2 linked regions of the Arabidopsis thaliana genome follow. The protein of the gene in region 1 interacts with the protein of each later gene in a pairwise test. Each region holds a gene or a part of one and is shown in the gene's direction. Other genes may lie near its edges.

Evidence for each region. Proteins that work in one complex are often made in the same cells at the same time.
Region 2: the proteins of AT4G32295 (region 1) and BZIP24 interact in a two-hybrid assay, tested with the Arabidopsis thaliana proteins (one large-scale study listed by BioGRID).

What each region holds. Positions count from the first base shown.
Region 1 is NC_003075.7:15,590,845-15,595,509, forward strand, and holds AT4G32295 (histone acetyltransferase), read left to right. Parts: upstream 1-2,043; 5' UTR 2,044-2,115; coding exon 2,116-2,216; exon of another isoform or gene 2,217-2,323; coding exon 2,324-2,438; exon of another isoform or gene 2,439-2,656; coding exon 2,657-2,771; intron 2,772-2,850; coding exon 2,851-3,236; 3' UTR 3,237-3,711; downstream 3,712-4,665. Other genes in the region: AT4G32290 (Core-2/I-branching beta-1,6-N-acetylglucosaminyltransferase family protein), read right to left, coding at 1-149.
Region 2 is NC_003074.8:19,281,446-19,285,765, reverse strand, and holds BZIP24 (basic leucine zipper 24), read left to right. Parts: upstream 1-1,573; 5' UTR 1,574-1,701; coding exon 1,702-1,760; exon of another isoform or gene 1,761-1,916; coding exon 1,917-2,112; intron 2,113-2,197; coding exon 2,198-2,504; intron 2,505-2,813; coding exon 2,814-2,938; 3' UTR 2,939-3,376; downstream 3,377-4,320. Other genes in the region: ASAT1 (acyl-CoA sterol acyl transferase 1), read right to left, coding at 309-1,346. UniProt on the Arabidopsis thaliana protein: Transcription factor involved in the regulation of salt stress response. Functions as a negative transcriptional regulator of salt stress acclimation response by regulating cation homeostasis.

The sequences.
Region 1 (4,665 bases):
CGAGAGTAAAGAGAGAAGACGGAAAGAGAGCGGAAACCAAACTCCGGCGAGATAACGCAGGTGAGTTCTCGCTGGACTGTGAAGATAACAGCCACTGGAAGACATAGAAATAAAGCGCAGAGGAGAGGAAACAACGTCGGAGATATCATCTCTCACTCCACCGGAGGATTAGAAGAAATCAGTGACTAGACTACTTTTGCTTTTTAGAGAGAGAAAGAAAGTGTTCTATTATTATCAACGACATTTGGTTTCTAGAGTGAGAGAGTGGGATTTGGTGCAACTTGTTGTATCTTATTATTACGTTAAGAAATTATATATTTAATTCGAGTACACTAATTATAGAAATATATAATTCAATGGCATTTCATATTTGGAATTTTACATCTTTATATAGAAAAGTATTCGTCTTCTCTCGAGTTGTCATTTAATATACATAACGTTCTTAGTTTTATTTGGCCACTAATTCTAATAATTTTGATCACTGTACTGTTTATCCGAAAAGAGTATATATGAATTGAATTCTATTTGGTTATCATTTCTTGTACTTTATCAGTTTGTCATAAATCTGACTAAATCATAGGCCACACATAATGTGATTGTGTATGTATAAAGAATTTATTCGTTTGATTAGTGTGTTCAAAGCTAACATTAAAGGAAGGAGTCATAAAAATATTCGATTTACGTGGAGGGTTCTTAGTCTTACAAGTGGATTGATGGAAACCGTTGGATGGTAAGCTTTCTAATGACATCACGTGGCTGCGTGAATTTTCGTAATCGATCCGTTTTAGGAAACGTTTCCGTCTCGAAGGCAACAGCTTTGTTGGATACGAGTTTCTCTGTACGGTGGTCCACGTGGTCGACATGCAATAGATTTGGGCCTTTAAAAATCTGAGTTTTTGGGCCTTTCACTAACGACGAGAAACCTTAAGGTGGTTTTCATTTTGAGTTTTTGAGTTCAGACTTGAAAAGTTTTAGGACGATGGGTCTTCGGTAATGTTTTAGACCTTTACTTTATTTGTCAGCAACGAGATTTTATTTTAGTTTGTCAATTCACTGATTTTTTATTTATTTACTAGGAGTTCGCGGACAATCGGTTTATTTGATTCTTATACTAAATTTTTGAATGAATTTGATATTTTAAACTTATAAATATAAAACTTTTTAATTAAATATAACTAAATAATAATTGGGATTTTTTTTTTTTTTGTTATTTAGTAATAAAAGGAATGTATTAAAATATGTATTAATTAGTTATGTGTATGTAATTTTAGTAAAAGTAAAGACTATATGAATTATGTTATTTATAATTATATGTCTTTAAAGTGAAGATAAAAAAAATAAAATTATTTTACTTATTTTTGTTGAACGGAATTAATTTTATTGAACGGTTTAGATTGAATCGGATCATATAAAGTTAAGTAGATTGTTAAGACCAAATTACCATAATGATTTTGAATAGCAAAGAACAAAATCCAAAATTAAAATCAAAATTAAGGCGAAATTAAACAAAATTTTAATTTGTATTTCCCTTTTAATAATAAAGAGATTGACGTCATCTTGAATGTTTCAGTGTCAGCGAAAAATTATGGCAAAAGATTAGACGCGGTACGAAAGCAATTCACAAGATTTCATTTTGTTTCCTTTATTATTACTTTCAATCATACGATCTTCTTTTGTGATTTGTAGAGAAAAATCATACTTATTATGCTTTTTAAGTCGTTCTTCTTTTTTCCTCACAAGACATGCAATCAATTGAGACCTCACTGGACTGGGTGATTTGACGCAAGTTATCCACGTGTCTTATTTAAATTTGACAGTTCAAAATCACTCCAACAGTTGCCTAAAACTCCTAAATAATTTGGTGAATGGTAGAGTTTTTAGTTATATTTTAGTAAATTATTGGACTGCAACTCTACATAGAGTAGGCCGGACCATGATAAGTTTAGGCAGACTAAACCGGACCGGACCGGACCGGACCAGTTGGACAGGACTACCTCTCTCCCCCACCACACTCAAATAAATTATTGAGAAGTGAAAACTAGTGAAGAACAACAATCTCACTTTGTCTTTTTTTCTCTCTCTCTCTCTCTCTCATAGAAAAGGAAGTGGTGGAAGATGCCGAGGCCAGGGCCAAGACCGTACGACTGTATCAGAAGAGCTTGGCATAGTGACAGACACCAACCCATGAGGGGTTTGCTCATCCAAGAGATTTTCAGGTCATCATCATCATCTCTCTCTCACTTTGGATATCTATCTGTGTATCTATAGGTTTGTGTGTGTGCATGTCTTTCTTTAGCTCAATTGTTCTTTGAACTATTTGTAGGATTGTTTGTGAGATTCACAGCCAATCCACCAGGAAAAACACAGAATGGCAAGAGAAGCTCCCTGTTGTTGTCTTGAGAGCTGAAGAAATCATGTATTCCAAAGCCAATTCTGAGGTTTTTCTTCCAACATTTTAATTACAAAGGATTGTTTCTAAATAGTATTTCGATTTTCATTTTTTGCTTTTTATTGCCCTCTTTGAACAGTGTGACTGATAGTCTCTGGTAATCTGTACTAAACCTTGGATTTTATGGAGTTGATAGAGTGGATTTGTAGCTAATGTGTTCATTTGGAATATGAATATTTTATATACTTCTTGTGGGTTTGATGTTAGGCTGAGTATATGGACATGAAGACCCTTTTAGACCGTACAAACGACGCCATCAACACAATCATACGACTTGATGAGACCACCGAAACAGGGGAATTTCTTCAGCCTTGTATTGAAGGTATACAATACAATCTGTATATTCGAGCTTTCGGGGATTATTGGCTCAGATCAATGAGCAAGTCTTGTTTATTATGTAGCTGCATTGCATTTGGGGTGCACACCAAGGAGAGCTTCAAGGAGCCAACGGAACATTAACCCGAGATGTTATCTTAGCCAAGACTCAACTAACTTGGACAACATGTTGTCCCAAGTATTCATGAAACCAAACAACTTTGCTCCAAAGAATCTTGCAGTAGCACAAGAGAATTGCCCTGTCTCCAAGTACTCTGCCTACCCTTTATGCTATTCATTCCGGCCAATCAGTGACTCGTGTAAGTCCAAGAACAGTAGACCGGCGAGTCTCATTGACGCAACAAATGGCATTACCTTTGGTGGGTGTGAATGTGATCTATCTCTGCGCTTAGGTCCTCTTGGACCTCCTACTCAAAAACGAAGTAAGATAAGCAGCAACAATAACAACTGAAAAGGAGAGCAAGATTGGGTTTTGATTAGCAAGTCTTGTGTTAGAAGAATGTGTGCTTAGTTAGGCCTTTTAGTCTCCTCTCTAGACCCTAGGTTTAGGTTTGTGAACATGTAAATAGAGAGACGAAGTAACAAAACAGGAGATGAAGTCGTTTTCTTCTACCTGCATCAATCTCGAATCATCAGACTTCACGAATGTATTTTTACATTGCAACACTGTTCGAGAAATATCCATTCCACATCTCTGTTTTCACAACAAGCATATTAAATGCCCTACATTGGATTTTCCATCGAAAGACTTTAGTTAGACTCCATCTGATTCTTCGGCGACCGATGATGACTCTAGCAGGCTCCTTATGAAATGGGCTTTTTTGAGCCAACTCAATTTAGGCCCATTTAGTTGCAAGTAGGCTGAAGAACATTCGGTAAAACGGATCGAACTTAAAGTTTCGTTTGCATTTTTATGAAGATAAGACACACTTGTAACAACTTTGTGGAAGATTTTTGAAATCGTCTGTTCTACAGAAAAACCGAGTGAACTTGGACGTTAATCATCATAATCAACATGAGATTCTAAGTACATTAATTAACTATATAATTCTTGATTATTATATGATTTCATACGATCCAGCTGTTCGACATTAGACTCGAATTTGAATCAAAGAGGACAAATCTTAGATGCAAAAACTATCTTAACAACCAAATCTTTTGTGTAGATATACAAATGCTCTTGCAGATATTAGTAGTTAAAAAGGAAGAGAAGATATTTTATTGTGTGTTATAAACCATTGGACCTATTTCAATTTCAAAAGCATAATTAAACTAATTCCTTGACAACCTGGAAGACCTCGTCAATTCTCAGTTTTCACCTAATACGAATCTTATCAACCTGTGGGAACGAAACACACTTACCAGCATTTTTCCAAGCAGTCCATTGTTGAAAATTGGCAAAGTAAGATTTTAAAAAGGGCCAACTTTTTTTGTAGTTTAATAATTTTTTCACAAAAGTAATTTCTCATTGGATTATGAGTAAAGCTTTTCTTTCTCATTACCCAACCTGGTCCATTATTATACATATATGTACAAGAAACAAAATATTATAATTTATGTCTTTACCTAAAAGATGATCCAAGTAGTTCCAATTATTAAATCACTAACCAATTGACTCTCTACGTATTGGTTTGACACGAAAGGACCGTTCTCATGGATTCTGTTTTGTTACGATATAATAATAACATAATTATTATTTTTTCTTGGACCATTATTGATTAATTATGTAATCTTAGTCATACGTTGACGGCTTTCATGAATCATGATGATATCAAAAGAGATCATCCGTATGATTGTAGTGGAAGCGACATGCGGACTATATATGTCACGATATGCTAAGATAATATTTTTACTTTGTTAAATGATATGTTAAGATAAGA
Region 2 (4,320 bases), on another chromosome or scaffold:
GTGGGAAAAGCTTTAGCTGTAGGAGTTGTAGACAAATTCTAACTGCCTTAGATAGACTTAAGATGTGTAACTTAGGCGGATCTTGCTGATCCATTTTGCATGTTATTGCCTCTACTCGAGCGGGTTTCTTCCCCTCATCTTTACTTTCATATCATGTTTGCAAGGTTTTATGTATAGTATTATGAACTTCCACAATTTTCTTGATTCGTGTGCCATGTAAATGATGGGGTTGCAGAAATGTCGGTTTTACAGTGTTAGAAAAAAATAAGTTAAAATAGAGATCACTCAAGCTTTGTCACACGGCAGGGTTAAAAAAGATATGCGGTCAGTTTCCTCCTGACCTCGACTGCAAATGCGCCTATGGCTGCGTACTCATCAAGAGCCTTCTCAACTATGTTGCACCGATTAAATTCGGGCAAGAACAGCCACAATGCCGTCACCATCACAAAAGTGAGTGTCAAAACCTGACTGATTGCTTTCGGGAATCTCCACCTACCGTTAATGGTTTTCTTGATGGCGATCTCCACGGTCGTGCAAAATCCATTTATGAGGAAGAACCACATCATCTTCCAGTCTGGCCTCAACCGTCCCATGTAGAAGAAGATGAGCTCGTGCATTATCCCAGAGACAACAAACGTCCCGAAAGCTGCAAGAATCTGGGAATAGTTCGGGCCCAAAACCGAGAACAGTTGAAGTGACGGTTCGTACACGGTTGGCCGTAAGATTCCAGTGACCATCAGGTTCCATCGTCTCCCCCAGAAATCTTGAAGTGATGTCGCTAGGTACGGCTTGTTGAACTGTGGCTCGAGCTCAAGATCCGACATGGCTCGAACCGCAGCAGCTGTGGCGGCAAGGATGATCTCAAGGGCGAAATATATGTGGATCGCGTAGAGAGTCAGCACGACTTTCTCAGGCAATTTGGTACTGTATTCGTAGGCTTTGATGATGAGAACCACAAAAACTGCCTTTATGGTATAAATCAAAGGACCCTCTGTGGATCCTTCATGGGAGTGAGTTTTTGTAGGTTTTGGGCTCAGCTGAATCTTGATGGGCAAGCAAGAGACAGCTAAGAAAATAGGGAGAGATAGGGGTTTATGGTTTGAAGAGAGAGGACCGCGCCCTAATGCAAATAATAAGAGCTTGAAATTTGCTAGCCAAGCGATGAAGAAAGCCGTGATGCCGAGTAAATGTAAGGAATATATCAAGAAAGGTACTATGAAGAAAATGAGGAAGACAGGGAAAAATAGTATGAGCCTTTTGATTCCTTTTGGAACCAATTTGGCAATGAAAAAAGTGTAACACAGTGAGATGATCACTAAACCCCATGCCTTGATGAAACTCGCCATTTTTGCTTCTTGAACTCAAATCTCGTCGGGAAGCAAGATGATGATGATAAACACGTTTACAAAACGTGTCCGCCAGCGAACACTAAATAATGATAGAGACGTGCAATAAGTTAAAATCCATGAGAAAAGTCTTCTTCTTTTTCTATACGAAACAATTTGACAATTGACATTAAAGAACCAATTCTCTTTCTTATAATATATTATTCATTGGGGTCTGGGGATATGGTAAATGGCTTTGCTTATTGTTCCGTCGTAATTTCTAGTAATAAAACCATTTCAAAGTTTGGTACAGACAAAAAAAAAAACATTTTAAGGTAATCTCAAAACCAAAAAGCCTATCAATCTTTGTACTTGGATGTTTTGTTGTTGCAAGGATTGCAGAGGAAACCAACGAGTTTCTAACTTTGATTCTCTGTAAGATTTTTCTTTCTTGGGCCATGTCAAAAAATTATAAAGAGTTGACTACTGTTTTATTCATCCACTATGTTAATCAAGAACATATTCTTCAACACCATCTTTACTTTAATCAAAAACCCTAATAATATCACCATAATTCTATGTCCCAAACAGAACAGGTGTTTTCTTTGGAGATCTTGAGTTTGGACCTCAGAATCAAAGATATATAAAGATGAATGAGGAAGAAGATAAAGATCAAGATCGAGTAACGAGAGGATGTAGTCACACTCATAGCTGTAACCCTCCAGGCCCAGAGGATGCTTCTCACTCCCACACATGCTTCCACGCTCACACTCATCTCATCATCTCTGTAATAATATCTCTTCCCTTAAGATATGGTATGTTTCTGATGATATTTTAATGGATTGTTATAGATACATATTTTTATGTTGCAGCAGGATCAGCAAGAGAATGATCATTCTGACAGTAGCAACAAGAAACGGTTATGTGGTAATAGAGAGGCAGTGAGGAAGTACAGGGAGAAGAAGAAGGCTCGCACTGCATACCTTGAAGATGAAGTGATGAGATTGCAATCTCTGAATGAGCAATTCCTTAGAAAACTTCAGAGCCAAGAAATGGTGGAAACTGAATTGATCAGACTCCGGGCTCTTCTGGTAGAGATGCAGGGGAAAATTGAAGTTGAACTTTGTAGTTTCTCGTTTCAGAAACAATGCAACGGTTCTGGTTTTGTGTTCAAAGAAGGTGATTTCTCCTACTATTTGGTTTACTAGTTGAAATTGGTTGTCAACAATCTGATACGTTGATGAAAAATTTAGCATTAAGAGGAAGAACTAGTAAATAGCTAATGAAATTTGAGCTACTGAAATTTTATTGAACAATACGAAACGCTAAAGAACTAGTTTCATTTATTTGGTTATCGTCTTAGTAAAAATCACATTTTCGAATAATGAAAACGTAAACTAATAGTAAACCATTCATCACCATCATTTTTATACAAAAGTGACCTAGACCTAATCTTGACACAATTTTGGATCTCGTGTAATCACACAGATGGATGCAACTTAGCAACAAGTAATATGATGTGTGAAGCGGCAAGAGTGGAGTGCGAGGAGGGCCAAACACTTCATGATCCTATTCAATCTTTTGTTCCTCAACCACCACCATTCTCACGTTAAGCGTTTACGGGCTGTGGTATTGTGTGTATATATATACATATGGGTTTAATTAGGGGCATAGAGGTCGGATTCCAATATAGTTAACATATACACAGATTGGTAACTTATTCTACATATGTCTATTTTAAGGGTACCAAAACATCTTGATGTGGAATTGATTTTGAAATGAAGAGGAGGATGATTGTAGATTTGTAGTTGTATGTATATATGATGATAATTGTGGGCTTAGAAGATCTTTGGGGGTCCATTTATAGATTCTCTATATGTGGGTATGGTGAATACCCAAACCAATAATAGATAAGGACTTAAGGTATGCATCATACATGCATGTGTATATCATAAATTTCAAATGCAAATGAATTCCATTGGTGTGGAATAGACTGCCCCAATCATTATTTTTTTTTTTCAATTCGCCTCAAACATTTGCGCATAATAATCATTCTCCCCCATGTAAAATTTACATGCGAATCAAATATTTCTGGATGAGTCAATGATAAGGCCGCAATGTTAGATTTTTGGGGTAAATTATTTAGCAAAGAGTATATATACTTTATAATATTGAAAACACATAATCATAGAGTGAAGTGTTAGGTGCCTCGGCTCTTGTGACTAGACTAGACCACTGCTTTTGACACCCAAAAAATAACTATTATAATCATTGCTTTCCTTTGTGGGTCATTCTTCTTTTATAAAAAGGTCCTTTCGAAATTTTAAATTTTCAAAAAATAATAATTCTTTTTTAACCCTACATTAATTTAGAACAATCATGTCTTTTCATCTTTAATCCTACCCTCTCATGAATATTTTATTAAAGCAAAAAAAAACATACTCAATACTTTGAATATGTGAAACTACGTGTGTAAGATTTTTTCTAGATAATTAGTTATGTTGCTTCAAATAAGAAACCTATGGAATTGGTCAACACATTTGACAATAAATCATATGCCCATGAGATTAATTAAGACAGATTTTAATAATGAAATGGTTTTTATTTAATTTCATGTGATCGAAGCATGCAATAATGATTGAATGAAATAAAATTCAAGTGTCTCTCACCAAACAAATAAAAGGACAATAAAAGCAGAGATTAAGCTGAGCAAATTGACAATTTGGATATGACATGCTTTTTATGTTTCCCTAATTACTCAAATTTATCTTTAAATGACAATAAAATTCTGCCGTTTCATTTTAAAATAAGCAAGTTGAAGAATAAGAAAACCAGGTAGTTTATTTAATTTTGTAATCAAACCAAAAGCTTAGCTATACTTAAAAATGTGTCCCTACCAAAATAAAATGATGAAAAATGAGAAAGAGACAGTAGGAGAGAGTGGAGACCCCAGCGATACAGCTGGTCTGCATATCAATCACCGGCGCGTGACCAA